Mytilus edulis: one gene and its partner. The protein of the gene in region 2 interacts with the protein of the main gene of each other region in a pairwise test. Links are inferred from orthologs where the notes say so. Each region holds a gene or a part of one and is shown on either strand. Other genes may lie near its edges.

Region 1 (8,038 bases), about 32 Mb from region 2:
CCAATAACTTGACGATATACGGAATCTCCAAAGCGAACAAAAATGTTATCAAGCAAAAATTCAAGGGCATATATAGTATCAAAGCATGTCCAATTGACATAGTTCTTTTAATTTGTTAATTGCTACTAAAAAATGACCTAAAAGAGTTTGAACATATGTACTCGCATTCTGACTTTTTAAATGCCTAGTTAATATGGGATGTGAATTTTTTCTTAATAAGAATATGAGGCAAAGTGGTATATACATGATATAGGGTAGAAAAATCAAAACTTTGAACAGATTCAAAATCCCCAATATATGCATAACTTATAATGTCTGGTTATGTAAATGTATTTCAGTTGTTTCCTGTAATTAGTTAATACTTCAGCTTTATCATGTACATTTTTTGAATATTCATTTTATTAAATTTACTGTTTGCAAAAGTATAAATTACTCTAAATTATAGGGATTTTCTGGTAACTTAACAGAAAACCCTTGCCGTTTTTGGCACAACCTTTTTGATCTTTTGGTCCTCGATGCTGTTCAACTTTGTACTCGTTTCGGCTTTCAAACTTTTGTATCTGTGCGTCACACATAGGTCTTGTGTGGACAAAATACACTTCTGGCGTATTAAAATTTTGAACTTGTTGCCTTTTGTTGGCTGTTGTTCGTGTGATTCTTTGTCAATTGTGTTCTCCAATTTATTTATATTGTAGTCCTGTGTTGTCATTTTGATGTTATATTTTACATGGCCATAAAAGTGTGAGGTTTGGCATGCCACAAAACCAGGTTCAACCCACCATTTTTTCCTTTAAAAATGCCCTGTACCAAGTCAGGAATATGGTCATTGTTATATTATAGTTCGTTTCTGTGTGTATTACATTATAACGTTGTGTCGGTTGCTTTCTCTCATTTTTGAGTGTAAATTCACATTGCGATAAGACGTGTCACGGTACTTGTCTATCCCAAATTCATGTATTTGGTTTTGATGTTATATACATGTATATATGTTATATTTGTTATTCTCGTGGGATTTTGTCTATGTGTGTTACATTTTAGTGTTATGTCGTTGTTCTCCTCTTATATTTAATGCGTTTCCCTCGGTTTTAGTTTGTTATCCCGATTTTGTTTTTTGTCCATGGATTTATGAGTTTTGAACAGCGGTATACTACTGTTGCCTTTATTTATATAGGACAATGCTGTTGATTAAAAAATACTCCATTCCAGGACCTTTTGTTTTCCAAATAATTAATATTACCAATAATTGATAAGTTCCAGGTCGACGTGTTCAAACAGAAAAATTTTGAAAGCAGAGAAAACTGTGCGTCTTATAATCGGCATGACTTTATCAGATGACAATCCCAATATTAAAATAAGGCTTACGCATAGTTATATACTTTAATTCAGTCACGGACCCGCGATATCACGGGTGTATTCTAGTGTATATGTATCTTTATCAGCATCATGAGCATAATTTGACAGTTGAGGCTTTCAAAGCCTAGGTGCCAAAGCTGAACTAATTTAAAAAACAGTGTGGGGAGGGGTCTGTATGTGCACAGAAGTCATGGCAAAATATTCAGTTAGTTGATTGTGGCCATTATCCTGTACAGACATGACAGAAGTAGAATTTTATAAAAAGTTTTACCTTTAACTACTTTAATACATTTATGTAATACATTGCTATCTATATAATTGATCTTGAAAGGCTATTTTAATTTTTTTGTGGGACATCTTCGAAGAAAAAGCGTAACAACATGAACAAGAGGCAAAGAAGAGTGAATAATGGGCAAAAAGTTTAAAATAAAGAGAAAAAAAGTAAATAGAGAAAAATAGACTAAAATATTAAAGAATAGTGTATACGTCATCATATAAAATATTTAGAAGAGAGATAGTCCAAATAATTATGACGTCTGGCAAGGCTATCTTATCTTTAAATTTTTCAAAGGAAGGCGTCCCAGAAAAAAATTAATATAGCCTCGCCAGACTTCATAACTATTCGGACTAGAAGGAAGAATGATGGGCAAATTTTTTAAAGAATACCGAAATTTTTTCAAAAACAGTAAAGAATGTAGAATTGAAGGACCCCAATCCAGAACTTCTTTCAAGACCTCATATTAATAAATAAATGGTATTAATAAATAAATGGGACTAGCACATGGACGAAACGACAAAGACCGAAACCTCTTGTTTCCACGAATTCCATTGCATGGTGATCATGGACACAGGCACTAGGTATCAGGTCTGTTCGCGCCCAATACACTTTTCGCATCCTACATGTTCGCACCTGAAACAATTTATAGATAAAAAAATTATAGCAATACACTAACCAAAATTGATTAATATTTAAGATTTATTCCACCCGAAAATCCCGGTCGTCAGAATCTCACTTTATTTAAATGATTAAAAATATTTTAACAATACACTATCCGGCAAATTATGATTAAGATTTATTCAACACAAAAAACACGTTGTCTCACTTTATTTTGAGACAATGAAAACAAATATACTAATATGAATACACTTGCCAAAACTTGGTTATAAAGTTATCAAACACAAAACCAATAAAACTTGGGCGCGAACGTGTAGGGTGCGAAAGTGAAAGGGCGCGAACGTGATCGTGTGCGAAAGTGAATGGGCGCGAACGGACCCAGATTCCAGGCACTAGGCGACGTCGATCTATTATATAAGAATAGTTTACCTTTCAAATTATTATAAACATGTGTGTCTGTGACCATGGATATAAAAACATGACTTCACTGACACTATGACATAGCTGGACGTATAAAACGATAGAGATGGACATTTATCAAATTATCTCAGTGTGTTGTTCACACTTTTTATCGTCATCAAGATAATTTGTAATTAGTTTTACCTTTCTGGAATGCGTCATATTTTTCTATATCGCTCTGCAATCGTTTCTGAAGTTCGGCCATATTGAAACAGAAGAGATTTTCTGGCAAACTAATTTTGATTGGTCAATTTCAGAGCACTTGTCCAATCCAATTAAACGTTGCATTGCTACTTCTACTTTTACTTTTAACATTATAAAACTCACCTTCTTCAATGAGAGCTGCTAATATTTGACTGACAAAATGAATTCATCAGGCATAAGAAAGGTTAAACAATTATGTTTATTTGAATAACTTCAAACTGTGTGTCAAGGCAAATAATATTTTTCATTAAAATATCATTTGCAATAGTTGTCATATATTTCAAAATAATAAGATGTGGTATGCATGTATGTCAGACTATGAGTTACTTTACTTTAGGGGGGGGGGGGGGGGGGGGGGCTATGGTTTTTTTTTGGAAAAAAAAGTTTGTTTCACCCTCAGCTGCCACTATATGTAATGCTAAAATTGAAAGAAAAAAAAATTGTTTTCGACTTGTCGCGAAAAAAATAGATTGTTTTTCGCCGTAGGCGAAAAAAAAAAGTTTGTCCAGAAAAAAAAACCATAGCCCCCCCCAGAAAATCAAATGGTTGCTGCCTTACTTACTTTACTTTAGTCTGTACTGTTCCGCCTATATCAGACGACCCACTTTTCAGTGTGAATATCATTTAAATTGTCATTTAATCCAATGCACTAATATTGTTTGTTTATACACATTAACCACCACCTCTATTTACTCAGGAGAATAAGTACATCCCATGAATATACATATCAGAAACTGGAGGGAAAGTCAATGGACTTCAAAATGTTTGTTGCCCCATTTCAAATTAACAATTGTCACAGTTGAGCACTTTTTCATTATAAAGCTGATTGATATTGATTCATTAGTACTACCTCAATAAAGTCGATCCACCTGCCTCAATCCTCAATCTTAAGGCCTGTTGGCATAGTTCTCTATAGCTGCGAAAACGTAGCTCTTAAGATCCTTTTGATGATTTTTGATATTTGCGGACTTTTAAATTGAAAAATAGTTACAAATTCTTTTTTAAAGGTTTTGATATGGCAAAAAAAAAATCAAAGGACAATTATAGAGCTACTTTTTCGCAGCTAAGTCCTCTAGTGAATAATTAACTGTAAAGTCATGAAAGTGTTAATTTCGGAACAAATTAGTTCATCGTAAAGTTTAGTTGATACAACATCTTTTATAAAAGTTTTTAGACTCTGTATAAAGCTGTTTCTCGCATTATTTAATTTACTGCATCTCAAAACAAAATGTACCCGGTTCTCTTCCTCAGTTCCACATAACGGACAAATTGCACTGACTTGTCGTTTACTAAATTTAGAATTGTCGCATTGAAGAGTATGTATTACACACTAATTTGGATTTGATGCAGGCACGTAACGTAGAGTAAGGTTCAGATCCACAAGTATTCCAAATAGGATGAATGCTTCCAAATTCTGCATCATCATACATGTCATAGTTTGAAAGATTTAAAGATCATTTTTTTGACACATCAGATTTTAGTTTAATTATCCAGTAGTAGCTTACAGAGGAGTTAACCAGTTTTTTTCCATTTAGACTTTGAAGGAGGGCTGACAAGTAGATCATGAGGTGACGGTAGATCATATAATTCTGTGATAGTTACTATTTTACGAAACCAACTGTTTCATGACTTGGATTTCATTGCAAGTTGACGGAATGCTAAGTCACGTTCGACAGAGTTATCATTATCAATACTGTTTTTAAAGATACCAAGAATTCTTTTGTGGATTTCCGCTGAATTCCAGAGGTACATCAAAGTTCAAACATATTGCGGCAATTCTATTATTTCCATCAGGGAGTTTCTCCAAATATGGATTATATATTATTTACGCAAATTGCGACCCCAGCATGTGTGCGTTTTCTGTCAACTACATCATCAATAATTCCATCGTCAAAACATTTTATGTGACAGTTAAAATCAGTAAAATTATTATACAAATTATCCTTCTCATGGCTATAGAGCCAGTGCTCTTGAAGTAAAATAATATCAGATCTTTTAATAAGTTTATAAAGATACGCTAAATTAGAGGTCAGGCCTTCAATGTTAAAAGATAAAATATTTAACAGTCAGGGGACTTACTGAAATAAGTGATTTTAAAATCACTTATTTGAGTAGCAAATTCGAGGTTTTGTCACAAATTTGGATTTTGTAGTTTTTTCAAAATTTTAAACACATAGGTTTAAATAATATCTTTTAATTAGTAAAATTTAAAAAAATGAACTTTTTGCTTCTTTTAAGTAGCAAGGTTTATGCCTTTGATGCTAAATTCTATTTTAGTTGAAAAAATGCTATAATAATGGCTTTACATAATGAACTGATACTTTCTTAAAAGATTTTTTCCAGCAGTGGCAGTATTTTTCTTGTGAAGTTCAAGGTTTCATCTTTCAGATTATGTAATAAAATTCTACTGTTCGCGATAAAAATTTCACTGTTCGGGGGTGTTGAAATTAGTGGGGGTTATAAATTAAAAGAATGATACTTAAAGAAGTGATTTTTGGGAAGGAAATTGAGGTCTGATACTTAAACAAGTGATTTTTATGTCATTATCCTAGATTCAGTACAAGGTCATCACCTGAAATGACCTGGTCATCCTAGACAACACAGATGTTGGTTCTGATAAGTTTAGAAACATAATTAGTCCCTGGGTCATTAGTATTCTATATTTAAAGCTACAGTAAAATTAAATCACTTCTTCTAGTGATTAATTTGTACTACTTAAATAGGTGATTATTAAAGAAAGACAACTCTAACTTCCAACCTTTATGGAAATAATGTTACTTGAATCAGTGATTTAGAAAATCACTTATTTAAGTAAGTCCCCTGACTGTTTAACAAATGTGATGTTAAATTCTAGACTGAATCGAGGGTGAAATTGTGGACTCTGGTTCTGAAATCTCGGGATCACTTGGTATTGTCGATGGACATTTGGTTGACGGACATGATTCGGAATTCTCTGTCTTGTTGGAGGAGGGTGGTACATGTACATTGGTTTCTTTGGTGGAGAATAATTCATATGTGGCAGGTGTCTTTTCGGCGCACGAACTTAGCCTAAAAAAGGGTACTGTTCAGTATATGATATACCATGTATACTATGAACAGGAGATTGTTCATCTCCTACCTCGTCATCATGCATTTCAAGCTCAGAATCAAATAAAATGTTAGTACAAGAGTCATTTGAAGGTTTCTCATACTTAAACTAGTCAGCAGTTTGATTATTGGTCACATTTTGTTTGTTCTTTCGTGTTCTCGGTTGTTTACGTCCATTCTCTATTTTAAAGTCGATGAATTTATCAGCTAAATTTGAAATTTTATTGTCTTGTTTAAGTATTTCAAATTCTTATGAACACACACGTTGTTCCATGGCATATGATCTAGAATTATCTTCTCGACGCAGATGGTTCATGTACTGTATTGCTAGGGTTTTGTTGTTTTATCAATAAGGAATGTTCAAGATCCTTTTCATCTTGCTCTAATTTAATAGTGAGGGCTCTGTCAGTAGCCAATTCTTTTTTCATTAATTTTTTTTCGGAATCTTGTTTACAAATGAGCAATTCTTTGGTTTTAAGTTGCTTATCTTTTAGTCCAAGTTGAGATTTTAAATATTTTATTTCCTCTTCTAAAATGTTAGTGTTATTACATGTTGTCATTGGAATGGCACTGATGGTTAAAGGAATAGGTATACATGTATGTTACAGTTAGTTAAATGTGGCGGAGTGGAGCACAGAACTGTGGGGTGACTCAAGTTTGTAGAAGGATTGCTATTTTCTGAACGTGACCGTATACTTGTGGTTGGTTGAATACCAGTGTTTTACGGAGCATGTTTTAAATGAGAAACAAGTAGATCTGATTGCAATGATTTTAAAGTTTTGCAGCTGTTACAATTATATTGAAGTGTAAGATCATTCTCTATCTCATCAACCTCCTTAACCATGTTAACAGTAAGATTTTCACATTTATAATGAAGCCATTTATTACAGATTTCACATTCAACAGCCTTATTGTCAGAACTACAAAGATTTTCACATATAGGACAGTAGTCATTTTGTTGTTGATCAGAAGCATTTATTAGTGACTTTAAAGATGCGGAAGCACTATTTAGTTTAGAATGTTGACACTGATCTTGTTGAATACTAGTATTAATGTCAGTTGGTCGAGTGCAACTAGTCTGATTTGAGTTAAGATATGCAGTGCAGCATTGTCTGATTTTACTGTTAATTGTTATGAAATCCTTGTTATGGTCTAATACATTCAAGATATCAGGTAGGGTTGACGAAATATAAACTGACATATGTAGCTGATTACCATTCAAAACTACTTTTGACGAGGTATTGTAAAAGTTTAATACATCAGATACATAGAGTTTGTTCTGTGCATCATTGACAACGACAGATTCAGAGACTACTGCTTTATTTACGTCGGTCGTATTAGTCCTTCTTATTGAGAGCCCCTCACCCTGAAGCACACTCAAGGTCACGATTTTAAATTCCTCATAGGCACCGGCAGTGAATGTAAGCACTAAGTTACCAGGACTAAATTTAGGGACTACTGAGAATGTTCGATTTGAGGCATCAAGTTTTTGACTAATTGCTTTGTTTTTATTTAGAGCATATTCAGCTGGGTGATCAGTCATTGTCAGTTGTATTGAATTCTAGTCAAATCGGCACCTGGTTAAATCGGTACCCGGTCAAATCGGCACTCAGTATAGTCAAATCGGCACCTAGTCAAATTGGCACCTGGTTAAATCGGCACTTTATATAGTCAATTCGGCACCCATGTTTATAGATTTGTTTAATATACATATTTTAACAGTAATTTAAGCAAAAACAGTAAAAATAAGGAAGGGGTTGTCCAGAAATATTTACTTAATTATTTCACATTTTTTGGGGTTGATGTATATATATTTTTCTCTTAACTAAATGCGTATTTTAGTTATATATACAATGATCAAGGATTTTTATAGTTCTCACTATACAAATCCTTGCAATGATATATGAGGTAGTGGATATTTTGTATGCACTTTTTAACAGTTGAACATTTTGCAGGATTGTTGGTTTAATGCTGTTTAAACTCTCCTGAAAAAAAACACCTTGAATTGCTAATTATTTTGCATGAAAGTTTGAATTATTG
Region 2 (8,099 bases):
TTTAATTCAGTATGATCACTTTTTTTTAATTCAAAATTGATTTTTGTAAGTGTCATGTACCTGCAACCCTTTAGGCCAAAATAAAAATATTGTATGTTTGCCCAAATCTGACTGTCTTAAAATAAAAACAACGCTGACTCAAATTCTTTTTTTGCCGTTTTTTTTCTTTTCTTCAGATTTTTTGGTGTCCACTCCGTCATCGTATAAAACTTAATGATCGTCGTCTTTGCGTTTGAAAGTAACTGTGACTAAGATTAAAAGAAAGCGTGTAAAAGACGCAGTTAATCGATATTCAATGTTCTGGGTATTTATCTTCTGATTTAATGAACGTACATTTAAGTAAAGAAGCAAAACATGTGTCATGGCAGTTTTTTTACGCTGTCGTCGTCTGTACTTCTTAAAATTAACCAAAAAATAAAGACTATTGTGTCTAAAAGGCTTCACCGCTTTAACAAAAGGAAAACCTGGAATGATGTTTTTGATGAGGATGCCGATCCTGATGAGATGGACATGCAGAAAACTGATGACGTAGTTGTTACTGTATCCAACAACAGTGGCTACAAACTTTCGGGCCTGACATGAGTGAACCTATTGAGGTTGTATAGGAATTTGACAATAAACTTAAGTTTGCTACTTTTACTGTAAAAAAAAAAATACCTTTCAAATGTTGATTTTTTATTCTAAGTCTCAGTATATGGACAAAAATGTTGATTTTTTATTTTAGTCTCAGTGTTAACGTTTATATGTTGTGTTTAAGTCTACACATTATAAATAAAGTTCAGTTTATTGTTGAGTGATTTAATTCTATATAGTAGACTAATTTATAGAGGTGTTAAATTCTGGTTTTTGATTGTTTGACGGAAAAAAAGATATACATTGAATTTGTACTGTTTTAACATTTTCATGCAAATTCTGATAAAAAAAAAGGAATTTGCCTACCTACCTACCCACTCCCAGTCATCATTTGTCGGGTTTGGGCAAACTGAAATATTTTTTATTGTGGCCTTAATTACTCATGTTTGGACAATTTTCACAGAGACCCATCAATTCAAGCCTTTTCTACATTCATTTTATAAACTTCCACATGAAATAGTTCTTTGATTTATTTTGTCTTTTAATACATAAAATGAATAATAAGATTATTACTTTCATTTTCAATTGAACGTCAAGTAATGAGAACCTTAAAGTGTAATTATTTGCTTGAATTTATTAAAAATAATAACTCTGATAATAAGCTTTTATTTTTTATTTTCTATCTAAATTGAATTAAATAAATTATAGAAATATCATAAATTTTTTAGCAAATATTTATATTATAATTAACAATTATTTGAATAATATGAGTTAATAACAATAATCCTTTGTTTATTTGTACAAGTATATATTTTAATTAATTTTAATTGGTTGTTAATAGATTTCACGATTATCCTCTACAATCTTTTCAAGTTCATTTAACCTCCCTTTGATCTTCAATATCCAATTTTGCTTCAAAATTCATTTTTCATTTTAAATCTTTAAGTATAGTCAATAATACAACTACAATAATACAACTCAACATATATCAAGTAAAATAAATAAAGCCAATAGTATACTTGGGCTAATTAACCGAACTTTTATCTTTAAAGATCAATATACATTTTTAAGACTATACGTTGCGTTGGTACGACCACACGTGGAATACGGAAATACAATATGGTATCCGCATTTAAAGAAAGATATTAATGCTGTAGAAAAAGTGCAGATGAGAGCAACTAAATTAATTCCTGATATACGACATTTAAGCTATGAAGACAGATTAAAAGTACTTAAACTACCTTCCCTAACTCACAGAAGGCGAAGAGGTGATATGATACAAGCTTTCAAAATATTAAAAGGATTCGAAGATATATCTTATGAAAGATTTTTTACTGTCATCAGTACAAATACCCGTGGGCATAATTGGAAATTAGCAAAACCTTGATGTAACACTTCTTTTCGATTAAGACATTTCTCACAACGAATTATTAATGATTGGAATAACCTACCAGTTGAAGTTATTTCATCAAAAACTGTGGAAGCCTTTAAAATTAGTATAGACTGTCATTGGGAGTCAGTCATGTATCAGTTAAGAAATTGATGAGGACACAAATAGTTTTCTATATAACTTTTTAATTCTCAGATCTGCAGTGACATCACAACATGTAACTGACCAATCAATGATTAGCATATATGTGTTACATAAACAATGCTGAGAGGTGATGCGGATAAGAATCCTCTAGATTTTCCATACACTTCAATGTAATTAATTTAACTGATATATATTGACACCAGTTGAATCTAGTAATTTTACCCACTTAATATTGTTAAAGACACTATATAATATCTCCATTTTGATTTTTATCATACTATATCCTTTGGTTAAAAAATAATCAACAATATAAATAATCAGTTAACACCTTCAAATAGATGAAAAATCTAGAGGAATCCTATCTGCATCACCCCTTGAAAAATTTAAATGCCAGGATGTCCGGATCTGAGAATTGTGTGAAATATTGCACCAAATCATGCAGGATTGATGATTGTATCAGTTTTGAAAGTGTACCAAAATAGGGTGGGCTAAAAAGGATAGGATCCTTCCATATGAGCCCCACAACGATCTTACAGGTATCTTACAGGTAATACTGGTACATCAGTAATGTACCAGTATTGCTGGGTTTTTTTAAAAGTGACAATACTGGTACAAAATTTTTATACCAGTATTGCGATCACCAACTACAGGAGATCCATGGGCTTGATAATGTAATATGTGGTCAGTTAAATGGGAAATCGGTCCCGATAGAATTCTGAAAAGGATTATATATAATTATTTAAAATATTTCATGTAATAGCACGATGTCGATGACAATGATCAAAAAGCTTATTCTATTGTAATTTCTATTTCGAATTTTGGTGTGCGGGTTACATAAATGTGAAACTTTAGTAATGCTAAGTTTGAACCTGGTCTAATTGTTTAGCCAATTGGTTAAGTTGTTCAATTGGCAACTGGGCGATGTCGATTTGTTGTGTCGCCATGTCGGTATTTTATCCAAGGGAAGTAATAAGTGGACAGAAATAGTTCAAGACCAAACAAAAATATAATATATATATAGTATAGGAACGGACCAAAATAAATGGATAGACGGAGGATCACTTATGAACTGCATGGCGTATCCAACAATACTATATTTCTGTTTTGAATAAGGAAAACAAATCAAAAAGGAAGATTTGATTGGATTTGGATTATTTCTATGGAATTATTTAAAAGTACATTACATTTGTATAATTTAGTGTTATCATGCAGCGCTTTATATTTCGTTCTCGATTTCGTTGTGTAAGGCTTAAAAATAATAAAATGTCTCTGAACTATAACTAGGTTAAATATTAGAATGGCCCATTATTATCCAAGGTAAACGGACAGAAAGTCACAAACAATTTGTTGATAATTTTTTAATATATATAAGAGAAATTAGGTCTCGAAATATTTACTTTTTATTACATATAGTTATTTTTCAGTGTAGCAAGGATTTGTATAGTGTTATTATACAAATCCTTGAGTGTAGTAAAGATTTACTAAATTTTAATAATGTAAAGGATATATTTCTTGGCACCATGAAGAACCAAGCCACTTTGACATGTTTCAGTCTTATCAATTCTTTTGTCATCTTTGCCGTTAGTAAATTTATAGCAAACCAAAGATGAAAATAATCAAGAGAAATCTAGTTGGCAACATCCAGTATATATAAGTTTGAATTAAACAGAAAAACTGCCATCAACACTTTATTCGATTCCATTTTCCCAAAAAATGATAAAGCTATAAATGTCAAATAAACCATTAGAAAATGACAGAAAAAAAATTAAGACAATATATTTATAGGCGTAGTTTCAATCAAGCTGTATACAGTATTTAAAATACATTTTATCGTTTGTGTACACAAGTAGATGACCAATGGTTATTTCGTATCAAAAATACATTTCATATAAAACTGAGAAATTTAGTATGAACTCATGCAGTAGTCTATAAAGTTGTTTTGAGTTTAAAAAGTAAAACTACAAAAATACTGAACTCAGAGGAAAATCAATTCGGAAAGTCCATAATCACATGGCAAAATCAAATAACAAAACGCATCAAAAACGAATGGACAAGAACTGTCATATTCCTGACTTGGTACAGGCATTTTCAAACGGATGCCATTTTCAAATATAGAAAATGGTGGATTGAACCTGGTTTTATAGCTAGCTAAACCTCTAAGTGTTTCATTTAGACATAAAAGCGGTATATACTGGTGGCACATCGCTTATATACTATAGCTAGTACTGGTTTACAAAGTTGAAAATAACAAGTTTAATAATTTCATGAGTCAGACGCTTTTCTGGGGGTGCATTGCATTTGCGCCAATTTTTGAAAATGACAATCTTTCATTTGCGCCACAAGGTTATATTTCATTTGCGCCAAAAAATAAAAACCTCATTTGCGCCATTTTCAGGTAATTCGGGCAAGCAATAACGGAAACGTTAAATATTCATTGCTCTAAAAGGTTTGTCTTTACAGTATTTCTCTGGATAACGGGATGAGTTCAATGCCACACTCAATTCTGAAGTTGAGAGTCACTAAGGTGTACAATTGTATATAGTGTTCACATGTTCGAGGTGTCAAAATGGACATTTTCTATTTAGACATAAAACAGGCGGAGAATTAAGTGTGTAAAATTTGATGACCACACTTTTTTTCAGATCATACGTTCTGAAAAATGAAGACCAAGTCGTTTATTGGGATCCCAAATAAATAAAACCTTGCAAAACCAGTATAACAATTGAAATGGACTGCAGTTCATGAAAAAAAAACGGTCTATCTTTTTTATCAATATGGTATGCACTTGAGAGGAGGAACTTTCCAGACATGAATACATCAAGGCCGTCGCTTACAAGTTTGGTGCCAGGGTAGACGTATAACTTTACAATAGTGTTTCATGCTTAGATTAACTCCAGTGTAAACTGTTGTCTTTCATATTTCATAGTAGGTGTTATGATAACGTTTATTAATAACAGAACTCTGTTTCATTAAGGTTTAACAATACTTGTTTGGTTTAATGTCGACTGATTTCTGAGGAATATATTTAATTTTGCAAACAAAAGCTTTTATTATCAAAAGTCTTTTTTTAAATATATGTTTTATGCTATTTATATGTATTTACCTGTAATATTGGCGCAATCAAAAGGTTTTATTTTGGGGCAAATGAAATATTGTTTGTGGCGCAAATGAAAGATTTTTTTGGCGCAAATGAAATACTAATTGGCGCAAAAGCAAAACACCGCTTTTCTGGATTTACTTTCATCAGGAACGCTCAAAGCCAACCATTTATGAAAAGAAATCATGACTTCGCGAAAATATCCACCTTACAGTACCTAGAAAGTGTCAACCTTACAGTATCTAGAAAGTGTCAACCTTACAATATATAGAAAGTGTCAACCTTACAGTATCTAGAAAGTGTCAACCTTACAATATCCAGAAAGTGTCATCCCTACAGTATCCAGAAAGTGTCAACCCTACAGTATCTAGAAAGTATCCACCTTACAGTCCCTACAAAGTATCCACATTACAGTATTAAAAAGTATCCACCTTAAATTACAGTATCAAAAAGTATCCACCTTACAGAGTCCAGAAAGCATCCACCTTACAGAATCCAGAAAGTATCTAGAAAGAATCTACCTTACAGTATCTAGAAAGTATTCAGAAAGTAGACACTTTACAGTATTTAAAAAGTCCACCTTACAGTATCTAGAAAGTATCCAACTAACAGTATCCAGAAAGTATCCAACTAACAGTATCCAGAAAGTATCCAACTAACAGTATCCAGAAAGTATTCAACTAACAGTATCCAGAAAGTATCCAACTAACAGTATCCATAAAGTATCCACATTTAATACAGTGTCAGACAAAATAATCATTTTACAGTTACTTATTAGTTTAGTTTAATTTAAACAATATGTTATGCAAACAAACCAATTCAATTTATTTGAATAACATTTTATTTAAATTAAACTAAACTAAATAAACCACAGTATCCAAAACGTATCCATCTTAAAGTACCCAGATATAATGCCTGTATCTGAGTCTTGTACCCAATGACTACACACTTAATTTCTTTAGCACGTGTGTGTGGTAGCGATTCGTATCTGATTCGCATGAAGCAGTTGTCATTTTTGGATGACCTGACTTGTGTCTATGTATGTAGTGCTGTGCTGTCCACAACCTTAGTCGAACTTGTCGGTGTTTACTTTAACAATTGCAGATCTCATCATGAAAATTTATAAATCTGATAGAACGACTAGTTTTATGCATCCTAAACTTCAGTAGACAGCATCATAGTTTGATGCAAGTAATAGCGTTGCAGTTGTTCTGTGCCGTAGATTCAATGATCGCACGAAACATTTGCCGCTGAACATTACGCAACTGTAAAATAATAAAATTACATCTTATTATTTTGTCTTATTTAATAAACCTTTTCAGATATGACCAGCAAAAATAAAATCAATGATATATGGGGTATATCCTGTTGTATCCTTTATTTCGAGTTGATCGGATAGATGCGCTCTGCATAGTCACTAAGCTTTGAATAATTCAATCATTGAAGCAACCAACATTAAGTTTAATTTCAGTATAAAGACGAGCACTTACAGAGTTCTTGACTTTCGTCGGCCGCGCAAATATTTGGTGGAGATAAAGTTAAAGTAGGTTTCTTATGTAAGAAAAATTTAAAGCGTTATTCTCCATAAAACCACTACCAAACTTAAATTGTGGAATTATGAGTTTTGTTGGCTTTATCAACTTTTACATATTTATTGACCATAAACTTACAAAATTAACTTCAAGAGGCTGTTAAAATGACAACAAACCGAGTTATCTTATTACCATTATAAGTGTCATTGTTAAAGGCTCTAAGGGTCCTAAATCATGGCCTGAACGACAAAATTGAAAATTGCTTTTATTTTGACAACAGTAATAACAAAAGTCATATAAAATTTGATGAAGAAGAAAACAATAGTTGAAAAGTTCTCATCTTATTGCACGGAAACAATAATCACATGCAGTGCTATATTCATATTATCAAATACTCCCAATACTCCGGAGAGACAGATGTTAAACTTTTCGGGCAGCAATTTCCAAATTGAAAAAAAATAATTTGCAACAATTACAGCCGATTGCATTGAGTAGGTAGGTAAAGGAAATATCTTTGCTTAGCTTGCTTGCTAGCTAGCTGAACCGTGAAGTCATTATTTCCTTTACCTACACCCAATGCAATCGGCTGTAACATACAAAAAGTTGAAAAATATCGGTTAAACGGTTCGCCATTTATTACACGATTTCAAACGACATAAATGCCATTTTCCAATCAATGAAGACCATCGCTCTTAATCGAAGGGCAAATGTGAAAAATCATCAATATCGAGCTTGACCTCTTTATTCATCAATAACAACATGTTAATTTTTGATAAGCATTGTTTTAATGGTTTTATAAGCTATTGCACAAAAACGATGAAGCTAACTGCCTGAACGCCCAACAATCGCCGTACACCCCATAGTTTGATTATTATGCACTTGCAAGTTTTCAGAGGTCACCTTGATGATTAATTACCTTTAATTACTAACACACGAAACGCTGATAGATATTACCGAGTCCATGCATTGTAAATCATTTATGTTAGACTTTTTATAATTTGAGTCAAATCGGTGAACAAGAATTTGACAGCTAATGCTCTTTTAATATTTTTACATTTAACCACAGGAACACATACCGGTAATATGAAAACAAGATAAAGTTAAATATCTTTTTTCCATCCAGTGTGTACCAGAGATAACTGTTTTTCTTCATTCCTTACTAGCTAGTTTTCATCAATTTGTCTTTAAAACACATACATGTTATTCCTATTTCCCTAAAAAAAACTTCAGTCGAGTTGCAGGTTGGGTGATTTTCAAGTTAAATAGACCAGGCTGGACTGAAATGTGCACACACGCTAACATTCACGTGTGATTTTCACAATATTTAAATAACATAAGTGAAATGTCTATATGGATTTATGCA

What was found.
Region 1: the proteins of prefoldin subunit 5-like (region 2) and prefoldin subunit 6-like interact in a two-hybrid assay, tested with the Caenorhabditis elegans proteins (2 studies listed by BioGRID). The link is inferred for Mytilus edulis from reciprocal best matches to the Caenorhabditis elegans genes pfd-5 and pfd-6.

The regions. Positions count from the first base shown.
Region 1 is NC_092345.1:388,788-396,825, forward strand, and holds the start of prefoldin subunit 6-like, read right to left. Parts: upstream 3,011-8,038; 5' UTR 2,913-3,010; coding exon 2,852-2,912; intron 1-2,851. Other genes in the region: surfeit locus protein 1-like, read left to right, coding at 3,072-3,095. UniProt on the Caenorhabditis elegans protein: Binds specifically to cytosolic chaperonin (c-CPN) and transfers target proteins to it. Binds to nascent polypeptide chain and promotes folding in an environment in which there are many competing pathways for nonnative proteins.
Region 2 is NC_092345.1:32,217,518-32,225,616, reverse strand, and holds the start of prefoldin subunit 5-like, read right to left. Parts: upstream 3,096-8,099; 5' UTR 3,052-3,095; coding exon 2,977-3,051; intron 1-2,976. UniProt on the Caenorhabditis elegans protein: Binds specifically to cytosolic chaperonin (c-CPN) and transfers target proteins to it. Binds to nascent polypeptide chain and promotes folding in an environment in which there are many competing pathways for nonnative proteins.